Linked DNA regions of Saccharomyces cerevisiae S288C. Changing the gene in region 3 together with the main gene of any one other region gives a genetic interaction. Each region holds a gene or a part of one and is shown on either strand. Other genes may lie near its edges. The genes, in order: APL1, PAL1 and YAP1802.

Evidence for each region.
Region 1: of YAP1802 (region 3) and APL1, changing one enhances a phenotype caused by changing the other (phenotypic enhancement), as found in Saccharomyces cerevisiae (one study listed by BioGRID).
Region 2: of YAP1802 (region 3) and PAL1, changing one enhances a phenotype caused by changing the other (phenotypic enhancement), as found in Saccharomyces cerevisiae (one study listed by BioGRID).

What each region holds. Positions count from the first base shown.
Region 1 is NC_001142.9:444,110-448,678, reverse strand, and holds APL1 (Apl1p), read right to left. Parts: upstream 2,757-4,569; coding exon 654-2,756; downstream 1-653. Other genes in the region: LSO1 (Lso1p), read left to right, coding at 1-202; SAG1 (Sag1p), read left to right, coding at 3,818-4,569. UniProt on the Saccharomyces cerevisiae protein: Adaptins are components of the adaptor complexes which link clathrin to receptors in coated vesicles. Clathrin-associated protein complexes are believed to interact with the cytoplasmic tails of membrane proteins, leading to their selection and concentration.
Region 2 is NC_001136.10:1,169,826-1,173,532, forward strand, and holds PAL1 (Pal1p), read right to left. Parts: upstream 2,001-3,707; coding exon 501-2,000; downstream 1-500. Other genes in the region: mitochondrial 37S ribosomal protein mS43 MRP1, read left to right, coding at 1-318; YPS7 (putative aspartic endopeptidase), read right to left, coding at 2,561-3,707. UniProt on the Saccharomyces cerevisiae protein: Involved in the early step of endocytosis.
Region 3 is NC_001139.9:974,309-978,489, reverse strand, and holds YAP1802 (Yap1802p), read left to right. Parts: upstream 1-1,908; coding exon 1,909-3,615; downstream 3,616-4,181. Other genes in the region: LSC2 (succinate--CoA ligase (GDP-forming) subunit beta), read left to right, coding at 1-454; MPC3 (mitochondrial pyruvate carrier), read right to left, coding at 714-1,154; YGR240C-A (uncharacterized protein), read left to right, coding at 3,713-3,913. UniProt on the Saccharomyces cerevisiae protein: Involved in endocytosis and clathrin cage assembly.

The DNA.
Region 1 (4,569 bases), on a different chromosome or scaffold from region 3:
CGAAAAGGACCAACTAGAGAAACAACAACTAGAAGCTCAAGAAGCTCAGAGGTGGGAAGAAGGTGCGAGAACCCCTAACCAGAAGAAGCTGATTATGGAACAAAAAAAGACAGAGAAGCTAAGAGCCAAAAAGGAAAGAGACCAATTACTAGCCGCCGAAGAGGAAGCTTTAGGTAAGGGAGGCAGGGGAAAAAGATACTGAAATGACGGAAAACGAGAATATGGAGCAGAGAGCAACTTTTAGAGCTTTACCCGTTAAAAGGTCAAATCGAGGCTTCCTGCCTTTGTCTGATTTTAGTAGTACCGGAAGGTTTATTACGCCCAAGAACAGTGCTTGAATTGAGTTCTCGGGACACGGGAAAGACAATGGAAGAAAAATTTACATTCAGTAGCCTTATATATGAAATGCTGCCAAGCCACGTCTTTATAAGTAGATAATGTCCCATGAGCTGAACTATGGGAATTTATGACGCAGTTCATTGTATATATATTACATTAACTCTTTAGTTTAACATCTGAATTGTTTTATAAAATAACTTTTTGAATTTTTTTATGATCGCTTAGTTAAGTCTATTATATCAGGTTTTTTCATTCATCATAATTGTTCGTTAAATATGAGTATATTTAAATACAGGAATTAGTATCATTTGCAGTCACGAAAAGGGCCGTTTCATAGAGAGTTTTCTTAATAAAGTTGAGGGTTTCCGTGATAGTTTTGAGGGGTTGTTTGAACTAGATTTACGCTTACCTTTCAACTGATTAATTTTTTCAGCGGGCTTATCATAATCATCCATCATAGCAGTCTTTCTGGACTTCGTCGAGGACTGGCTTTCTGAATTTTGACGGTCCCTATTAGCTCCAGTTGGAGGAAATGAGTTACCTACAACTGGCAAGAGGTCTTTGTTTGGATTCAAAATAGGACTTTGTGGTAGCAGTTTGGTTTTATTCAATCTAAAGATATGAGAAACAGGTTTTAAGTAAATCGATACTATTGTACCAATGTTTAGCTCCAATTCCTCCAAAACGGTGGGATCTAATTTCGTGTTCATTTCTATTAGTGGCAACTCTCCGTCCAGTACTGATTTTAAAGATTCAAAAGTTATCGCGTTTGATATACGAGACGTTTTCGTTAATGACAGCAATCTCCAATACATCAGTGTTTTATCTCTTAAGTCAGGATTATTTTCGTGATCGATGCATCCTTTTAATAAATCCATACAAAGTTCTTCAGTTTCCTTTGTAGGACTTCTGATGAAGAATTTTATTGCTGAGTTCAGAATGGAAAATTGCACTTCTAGCGTCTCACTAAACATGTTTGAGGAAAAAACTCTAAATAACTCCAGGTAGTTTGGAATTACATCCGAATATTGCGTTATTATCCAGATCATAGCGTTTTTTGATTCAGGTTCCTGTACAACTTCAGTGTGTTTGACTAGTTCTGTTACGTTTGCTTTAAAATTATTGGGATATTTCCTCAAAATATTTCTGAAAACCGAAATAATCTCCTGGACGACATAATCAACACCGAATTCTAACAAATCTAGTAGAACAGCGACACAATCGTGTACAGAGTCTTCATCTAGCTTAACAGCCAGATTACCAATGGCTCTGACTGATTTCCTTGACATTTGAATATCAATATCTGTAGCATATTGTTCCAACTCTTCTAGAATTCTTGGTAATGTTTCCTTGTTAGCTAAAAGATATAAACACTCTAATTTCGTGTCTTTGATGTATATGGGGTCATTGTACTCGATGAAAAAATACGAAATGTCTAGCCTGAGTAGAGATGACTCCCTACTCAATAAAAGAAGAATAACGTTTCTTAATACTAAAAATTGTAATTCAGGCGGCTTATCTAACAAAGCTATTACAGAGTTAGATAGCTTTTCGGCTAGAGTTTCTTTGATGACGTCAACATAATTCAACAAGTACATGATGAATTTTAAAGAGTTCAACACTACGTATGTGTTTACTTGTTGCAGGTACGGTAAAGCTAGTTCGATCATTTCATGGGTATCCAAATAATGCTGCGGCACAACCGAAGTCGTCAAAACTTCCAAAACAGTAGCCTTATTCCACTCATTTAATTCGGGTAAAAGCTCTAGCATGTCAAAAGCGAGTTCCAAGGGAATCCTGAAGGGTTCCATGTTAGCGTTTTTTTCGTGAATGGAATATAAAGTATGTAATGCAGCTACAATGACTTCTGGAGAGCTCGACTGTGCTTTTACAATGTCATGTAGAATGCTTGATAACCCCAATACCCTTTCATGATCAATTTCATCTAAATCCAACAGTGCGTAAATTGCTGTCCTCGTCACTTGTTCAGGTGGAGACTTGTGATTTACCAATGAAATGATACAGTCGAAGGCCTGATCAGATAGCTCTTTCACCGGGACTAATACCAGAGTTCTTAGTGCCATTATTTGTAACTTTTCATCTCTGCTTTTGAAATCGTCCATTATAAATGGCAAAGCCTCTCTGGCCTGCTGAGGTTTTAATGCGCCGATCACCCTAATATACTCATGGCAAATTCTTTTCACTTCTAGATCATCTTCAATTTGCCAAAATTTCAAGAGCTCAGAAAACAGAACGGACATTTCGCCATAGTTTCCTAGAACCAAATTGGCGATAATTTTTCTCAGAGCATTTTTCCTTCTTGTTATATTCGATTTAAACTTTTTTACTCCAAAATGTTGCAGATCTGTGACGATTTCATTTGCTTTATATCTGGCAAAAACTTTTTGATCGGACATAAGCGAAATACGTCCTATTAATGAAGTGAATGTTCTTGCTGTATTCCCTTCTTGTGCAGTAGATTAATTCTGTTTCCAGGCTGCGATACTTTGATACCCAATACTAAAAGTTGATGATTTGAACGATCTCCTATTTCCTCGCACATTTTTGGAGCGATACCCGGAAGACAGAATCGCGATGTTAAGAAAATAGTTCTGATGGCACTAAAGAGATCATGATTAAGGAAAGGTAAGTGATATGCATGAATGGGAATAGGCTTTCGAACTTGACGATTTAGTTCCTTATTTCTATCCATCTAATCCTCCAACTTCAATAGGCCTTATCTAGCTCAGAGCAGTATTTAATTGAGAATAGTAGCTTAATTGAAACCTTACTAAAAAAGTGTATGGTTACATAAGATAAGGCGTTAAGAAGAGTATACATATGCATTATTCATTACCAAGACCACTATGAATAGTAATACCATATTTAGCTTTTGAAACTCATGTTTTCTATTGTGTTGTTTCAAATTCCTCTGTTAGGCTCAATTTAGGTTAATTAAATTATAAAAAAATATAAAAAATAAAGAAAGTTTATCCATCGTCACCTCAATTCAATGGAGTAAACAGTTTCAACACTGAGTGGTGAAACATTGAACAACTACATGCAGTTTCCCGCCACGAGGCAAGTGTAGGTCCTTTGTCCATTTCGCTTTGTTTTGCAGGTCATTGATGACCTAATTAGGAAGGTAGAAGCCGCTCCAGCTCGATAAGGAAATGCTAAGGGTACTCGCCTTTGGTGTTTTACCATACAATGGCAGCTTTATGTCACTTCATTCTTCAGTAACGGCGCTTAAATATTCCCAAAAACGTTACAATGGAATTGTTTGATCATGTAACGAAATGCAATCTTCTAAAAAAAAAGCCATGTGAATCAAAAAAAGATTCCTTTTAGCATACTATAAATATGCGAAATGCCCTCTATTTATTCTAGTAATCGTCCATTCTCATATCTTCCTTATATCAGTCGCCTCGCTTAATATAGTCAGCACAAAAGGAACAACAATTCGCCAGTTTTCAAAATGTTCACTTTTCTCAAAATTATTCTGTGGCTTTTTTCCTTGGCATTGGCCTCTGCTATAAATATCAACGATATCACATTTTCCAATTTAGAAATTACTCCACTGACTGCAAATAAACAACCTGATCAAGGTTGGACTGCCACTTTTGATTTTAGTATTGCAGATGCGTCTTCCATTAGGGAGGGCGATGAATTCACATTATCAATGCCACATGTTTATAGGATTAAGCTATTAAACTCATCGCAAACAGCTACTATTTCCTTAGCGGATGGTACTGAGGCTTTCAAATGCTATGTTTCGCAACAGGCTGCATACTTGTATGAAAATACTACTTTCACATGTACTGCTCAAAATGACCTGTCCTCCTATAATACGATTGATGGATCCATAACATTTTCGCTAAATTTTAGTGATGGTGGTTCCAGCTATGAATATGAGTTAGAAAACGCTAAGTTTTTCAAATCTGGGCCAATGCTTGTTAAACTTGGTAATCAAATGTCAGATGTGGTGAATTTCGATCCTGCTGCTTTTACAGAGAATGTTTTTCACTCTGGGCGTTCAACTGGTTACGGTTCTTTTGAAAGTTATCATTTGGGTATGTATTGTCCAAACGGATATTTCCTGGGTGGTACTGAGAAGATTGATTACGACAGTTCCAATAACAATGTCGATTTGGATTGTTCTTCAGTTCAGGTTTATTCATCCAATGATTTTAATGATTGGTGGTTCCCGCAAAGTTACAATGATACCAA
Region 2 (3,707 bases), on a different chromosome or scaffold from region 3:
AATGAGCTCAATAACCAATATACCAACATGGAAAAACAACGAGCCAAAGAAGCCGGTAATCTTGAAGATTCTGAGATGACTGCCAAGCAAGCCAAGACAAAATTTATTTATGAAACCCAACAGAAAGGTTTTTCTGGGAAAGAGGTTTCATATATCCCGCTTTTAGCCATTGATGCGTCACCAAAAACATGGTTAACTGATTATGGCGTATTTGGGAAACGAGAATATTTAGAAAGGGTATGGGACTCTATAGAATGGAAAATTGTAGAGTCAAGGTTACCTCAACGTACTAAGATCCAAGCATTCAACACGTTATGAATGAAACTGGTAATGGGAATTTTTTCCTTTTGATATAAGTTGGTAGTCTCTGTAAATATATAAAGTCAAACTATTCGTAATGTGTATATAACGTGGTCTTAAATTATTTTTATTCGTATCTCTCCCTTTTATTTGCCTGGCTTTGGTGTCTCATAGCTTCTTTTCTCTCTTTTAAGCTCACTTTACTGACTTTTCCTGCCGACCTTTAGACTTTTTACTCTGCTCAGTAATTTGCTGCCCGTCGATTTCTTTTTCATATTGGGCTCATTGTAGCGCACACCCAAATAAACGTCTTCCTCATCTTCATTGTGATCATCTTGGCCGTCGAAATCAGTAGTATAATTGGACTTATGCGTTCTGTTAGGAGAATTAACGGTTTTCGACCTTCTAACACCTTCATTGCTGTGACCAACATCATAGTTGTCTCTACTTAAACTCAAGTTTCTTCTAACGCCTGTCATGGGGGCATTGCTATCACCGGATCCTCCGAGACCTAATCGTTGAGAAAGTGACTTATTTCTTTGTAAACCACCGTTACGATTATGATAGGAATGGGCTTTTATGTCGTTTCTAATGGCAGCTGAGGAGGCCGGCGCCCCATCTAAAAACGTACTAGAACCTAATCCCGCAGTAACTGGCCCATGAACCAATTCTGTCTTATTTTTGGCATCCATTTGTTGGACGTTACCCACGTTTGCTTTTATTGCGTCCTGCGTATCACCACCTCTCCTTAGAGTCTGCGAACTGTACTGGTATATATCAGAATCATCTGTATCATCTCTCCCAAAAACCTCATCCAGGGCAGACTTCTTGGTTGAAGCGCCACCGATGGTACTGTTTGGACCATCGACCGGAAATGCTAAAACAGGCGCAGCTTTGTTATTTTTATTTCTATGAGGTGTTACTGCATCGAATGGGCCGTCATGATGAAATGAGCCACCGAACAATCCAGTTACATCTAACTTATCGATAGTATCGACGTTCTTAGGAACAATAACCTTACTTTTTCTCTTTCCCTTCTTAGAAGGCGTTGAAGATGAGGAAGCTTCACGGTGATGGTGGGATGAAGATCTGCGTGAAATATATGTGCCGCTGTTGCTATGTTCGCGGTGAGAAGAAGGACGAGAAACCTTTTCCTTTGGATATGCACGCCTTGATCCATTGGTTGAAGTGATCTCTTCGTATGAGGGTGGTAGGTCAGTGTTTTCTCTTGTGTTACCTACTGTACTTACGTCACTTTCCTCCAAATATCTTTGCCTTAATTGTTCTTTTTCTTCTTTAGCAGTGGGATGATTTTTATTCCTTGAAACAGGTGGGGGAGACCTTCTAAAATCGGTTGCAGAACTCACATCGTCTAGGAAAGGATTCTTTGAGGAAAGAGGTCTCGAAGGTGGTGATAAACTACCACTACTAAAGCTCTCCAAACCAGAATAAAAAGCACCCTGCTGATCTGCGTTTCGCTGGGGTTCATCCTCTGGAATGTTTGGGAATGATAATTGTGAAGAAGTTCTTGTGTTCAATTGTGGCATATCAAATGAATTGGTACGAGATTGGTTTTTCGCCCACTCCTGAAACTGGGAGTCATTTTTATACTGATTAATACTTGAATCAACTGTGGCATTTCTAAACGGGTTATTAACAGAAAATGGCCTACTAGAGGTACTACTGTTTCTATTCTCCATGCTAAATCTTGCGTATATGTATCAATTTTTCTAAAAATGGAAAATGCTGGCAAAGTGTAATGGAACCTACAATGTATCAACAATTAAGCAGTCGAAGATTATGGTAAAATGACGTTACGTGTTCGAAGGGATAGGTCTGCAAAACACTTAAATTCCTCGAATAAAAATAACAATAAAAAGAGCGAGGTAGATCGGATATATTTCGGATTCTACACACTATAAAATACAAATTAGAAATTTTACAGAGTTACCTCCCAAGAAAGAGTATCTTCATTTTCTAGTGAATAACCTATCGCCAGTCACCATGATCTGCTGTTGAACCAACCTCGAGGCGGGAAAAAAAACAAAAAAAAAAGTAACGCGATTTACGCTCCGTGCACGACGATTCTTTGAGATGGCTGCCAATGGTTGATCACAAGTACTAGCTTCTACACAACTGGATAAGAATGACGCATATATACTTTTAAGTATGTTGTTATTAAATCTGCTATATAATGATGTTATACGTGCATTGGTCAAGGAGAAAAAGGTTTTATGTTATGAACTTTTGTTAAAACCATTCAAAGAACAATAAGTATCGAGAATATCGAAAGTAGTAGCAAGGAAGCTATACGAGTTACATGTCCAGCTGGATCTTTGTTAAATGTATAAGGACTGCTCAATCGAACGCCTGCTCCCGAAGCACTGCTGGTTCTATTAGTTGAATTTGACCACTCTTCTGAGGCTGACACAGAAAAGCTGTCGAATTGAGTACTGGATGGTCTAGCACTTGTGCTTGCTCTTGAAGTATCATAGAATGACCGGCCCGCACCTGTAATCACACCGTTTGAGTATGCTGCTGTCAGTTGACCTGGGACAGTGAACATATAGCCTGACCTATAGGATGGATAAAGAGTCAAGTTTCTTGTATTACTACTATTCATCACTTTTGCGTAAGGAATGTAACCAGATTTGATCTTCTTGATGATAGTGGACGCGGTAGTTTCATTTGTCTCTTCAGTAACTGCGTCATCTTCAACCTTCTTTGCCTGTGCAATGGCTATAGTGTTATCCTCTAAGTCCATTGCCATATATATATTTTTTATGAAGGCTTCTCCGAGTATGTTTACTCCAGTATTTGTATTAGCGTATAGTGTTAGAAAACAAGCTTCCTGTCCAGAACTGAAAAACATTGAAGAATTGGTGGATGTATCGTAAGTAGATGATAATAAATCACGTAGGGGTATTTCAATTGTCAATTCTCGAAGCCTGAAACCCAAGGAGACACCCATATCTGCTATAGAACATTGGACTAGCCACCTATCTAGTGATTCCACATAAGTGGCCGCAATTTGAACGGCAATCTGAATAATGGTACTAGTTGGCAGGTAACTGACCGAAGAAGTTGAATCAAGTAAGGCTGGGCTCAGAAAGTCCTTCGAAGTCATATTCAAACTTTGTCCGCTGTTAGACACAATATAAATAGGGCCTAATGGCACAATTGGGTACCCAACACTAACAGCATTACTCACTGGGTCAACGTAAGGAATTAAGTCAAATTTTCCCAGTGTACCGGTAAACAGCGAAGGATCCACCCCTCCAAGAAGTAGCTTCCCACAATTAGATATTGGATCTCTATATGTTTTGTACGTGGAAGTGTCTCCAGCCAACCACAGTGAATATGACGAACTTTCAATGATATCTGCATCTTTCAATAAGGATAGAAAA
Region 3 (4,181 bases):
AGAAGATCCTGATGAAGTTAAGGCAAAGAAGTATGATTTGAATTTTGTTAAGTTGAAGGGTAACATTGGATGTTTAGTCAATGGTGCTGGTTTGGCTATGGCTACTATGGATGTCATCAAATTAAATGGAGGCGATCCTGCGAACTTTTTGGATTGTGGTGGTGGTGCCACCCCTGAGACCATCAAACAAGGTTTCGAATTGATCTTATCCAATAAGAACGTAGATGCAATTTTCGTCAATATTTTCGGCGGTATCGTAAGATGTGACTATGTTGCCCTGGGGCTGGTAGAAGCCGCCAGAGAACTAGAAGTTAGGGTCCCCATTGTGGCACGTTTGCAAGGTACCAAAGTAGAAGAAGGCCGCGACATTATCAATAAGTCAGGCGTGAAGATTTATTCGTTTGATGAATTAGATCCTGCTGCTAAAAAGGTCGTTGAATTGACCCAAAATTAAGCTTCTCGAGAAAAACAAAAGAGTTAATAATAAAGTATATATGCTTTTTTACTATTAATAAAGTTTCTTATTTTCCCTACATGTATACATACATATAAATATACTCTTTTGGAAAAAATTTCTTTTTTTTTTTTTTAATTTTTTTATATTTTTCCATCTTTTGATGTAATATAGAGGTTATATAATGAAAGAATATATAAGAGGTCATAAAAAATCATTAAAAAAATGCGAGTTCAGGAACATATTATCGTTTACGTAATCAGTGCGTTATTGGCGGATTAGTACCGATCACACCTTTGTTCATCGATGTGGATGCAGTTTGCTTTGCTGCGACGGCTGCAGGAGTCTCCCCTTTTATTATGTAGTGAATAACCTGTTTAAAAGAATCACCGTTCCGTATCCTAAAGTTAGCAATTCTTGTTAGATGGTAGCCTGCAGTGCAACCCAGGAAAAAATTGACGGAAGCTAACAGATAGTTCTTGGGCTTGATGACAAACGACCAACGCGTCCAAATCAGTGCCGTCGCTAATAAAGATAAATTTTGTGCTCCTGATACCTTCTCAACAGGCCTCTTAATATCATTTAGCCCTGCGAAGACCAGCCCCCACTTCAAAGTTGGGGCCCAGAAGTGTACTGTTTTAGGGCCTGTTTCACTATTCCAAAATCTTCTAAAGGCAAAATTAAAAGCTGATGCTGACATTAAAAATATAGGTTTGTGTTTCTATGTGTCTTGAATGCTTATGCGTATAGTCTTAAAGACTGATTGTATTCTTTTTTTTTATATGAAGTATTTCCGCCGTAATGAAAGGGAAAAGAAAATTTTCTCCAATACTCCAATTGCAACGCACCATATTATCCGGGAGAATACACGCACGCAGCCGCATATATATATATGATGGCCTTAGTTTTGTTTGAGCCTTTCGGTTTTGCGTGACCAAACCAGGGAGCGGCTCGCTTGACCCGCCCACGGAATGACGTAAAGCCGTTAATAGCCGATTGGCGGGAGAAATAAAAGCGGGGCACTCCCAAGATGAGGGGTAATCGGGGTAATAATATCCAATCAAGGAGGAAAAGGGCCAAATGTTACCCGACTATCCAAACTGCAGGGTAACCTTTATTTTTTCTTTTCTTTTACTCCTACCATTTTTTTTTTCAGATTTTTCCCAGTATGGCTTTGTTTTCATTTTGCTTTGGTGGAGGGATAGATTAAGTTTGCAGCTGCGTAGAAAAGTTTCTTTTCTACATTCGAGGAAAAAGTCGACTTATTAGTCTGGTTAACTTGTTATTAGGGCTTCTTGCTTGAGTTATAATTTTAGAAGGAGAAAAAATAAATCTGTAGCAGGAGTACCAATTTGCTACGCTTGCTAACATCTACGAGAGTAACAATATCAAGCATACAAGCGCGACTGTCTCGGCTACCCCTATAATAGATATAGAGGCGTGTTTGTGAAACAATGTCTTCATTATATACTAAGTTGGTTAAAGGGGCGACCAAAATAAAGATGGCCCCTCCAAAGCAAAAATATGTGGACCCTATTCTCTCGGGCACTTCGAGCGCAAGAGGATTGCAAGAGATTACCCACGCATTGGATATAAGGTTGTCTGATACAGCCTGGACCATTGTTTATAAGGCATTGATTGTGTTGCATCTGATGATACAACAAGGCGAAAAAGATGTCACGCTAAGGCACTATTCCCATAATTTGGATGTTTTCCAATTGAGAAAGATTTCGCATACTACTAAGTGGTCTTCCAATGATATGAGGGCTTTGCAGAGATACGACGAATACCTAAAAACACGTTGTGAAGAGTATGGCAGGCTAGGTATGGATCACCTACGAGACAATTACTCCTCGCTAAAGCTGGGCAGTAAGAACCAGCTTTCAATGGATGAAGAGCTAGATCATGTTGAATCATTGGAAATTCAAATTAATGCCTTGATAAGGAATAAATACTCTGTTTCAGATTTAGAAAACCATTTGTTATTGTATGCATTCCAATTGTTAGTACAAGATTTACTAGGTCTGTACAATGCTCTTAATGAAGGTGTCATTACACTTTTAGAATCATTCTTCGAATTGTCCATTGAGCACGCAAAAAGAACACTGGATCTCTATAAGGATTTCGTGGATATGACAGAATATGTTGTTAGATACCTAAAAATAGGAAAAGCTGTCGGTTTGAAAATCCCCGTTATCAAACATATTACTACAAAGTTAATTAACTCCCTTGAGGAGCATTTGAGAGAGGAAACAAAAAGACAAAGAGGTGAACCTTCTGAACCGCAGCAAGATAGAAAACCATCTACGGCCATTAGCTCTACCAGTAGTCACAATAACAACAGCAATGACAAGAATAAGTCTATAGCGCAGAAGAAACTGGAACAGATAAGGGAACAAAAAAGACTGCTGGAGCAACAATTACAAAACCAACAGTTGCTCATTTCCCCCACGGTCCCACAAGATGCTTACAACCCATTTGGATCACAACAGCAAGATTTAAATAATGACACCTTTTCATTCGAACCAACCCAGCCACAAATGACCGCTCAAGTCCCTCAACCAACTGCTAACCCCTTCTTGATACCGCAACAACAGCAACAGGCTTTACAGTTGACATCTGCGTCTACAATGCCACAACCAAGTGAGATACAGATTACTCCAAATTTGAATAATCAACAAACTGGGATGTATGCTTCTAACCTTCAATACACCCCAAATTTCACCGGCTCAGGGTTCGGCGGATACACGACCACCGAGAACAATGCAATTATGACCGGCACTTTAGATCCAACAAAAACGGGGTCTAACAACCCATTTTCGCTAGAAAATATTGCCAGAGAACAGCAACAACAAAATTTCCAAAACTCCCCAAATCCTTTTACCCTCCAACAAGCACAAACCACCCCGATTCTTGCTCATAGTCAAACAGGTAATCCATTTCAGGCTCAAAACGTGGTGACATCACCAATGGGCACATACATGACGAATCCCGTGGCCGGTCAACTTCAGTATGCCTCTACTGGTGCGCAGCAGCAACCACAAATGATGCAGGGTCAGCAAACAGGGTATGTTATGGTTCCCACTGCGTTTGTCCCCATCAATCAACAACAGCAACAACAGCAGCATCAGCAAGAAAATCCTAACTTAATAGATATATAGTGAGCGATAGATACTACAGTTTTTTGTTCTCAACAGGCCGTCCTTGCATATTATAAACTCTGATTTTTAGGTAATCCCTTCCACCTTTCTATATTTTATGATACTATCCAAACATGTAAATTTTACGTACCATACATATAACCTCATCTATAATTTTTACCCTGATCTAACTAACTTTGGCATGCCTGGTTCAATCTACGGGTTACAGTCATCGTTGAAAACGATGGAAAAACATGTCGAGATTCCTCAATCCATACACCATTATAGTCCGTTTTATCAGCTTCCACTAATTTTTTAAATCTCAGTTTCTTCTTGAAATTTAGCATCGTGCATGGGATAGCGGCTAGTAAAAAAGAAAATTAATATCTCATTAACAAAGTTATTGTACATAATCCGGTACAATATTCTTCAATGTACTCTCTAATATCGAGCACACTGGCAATATTCATGCACACATTCGCCTAATGCTGACGAATGCTTAATCAGTGCAATTACTGCCACCCTCTTGATATGTGGGCTAAATCCTTTAGGACCTGTAAAAAATGCAATCACGTTTTCACATTTTT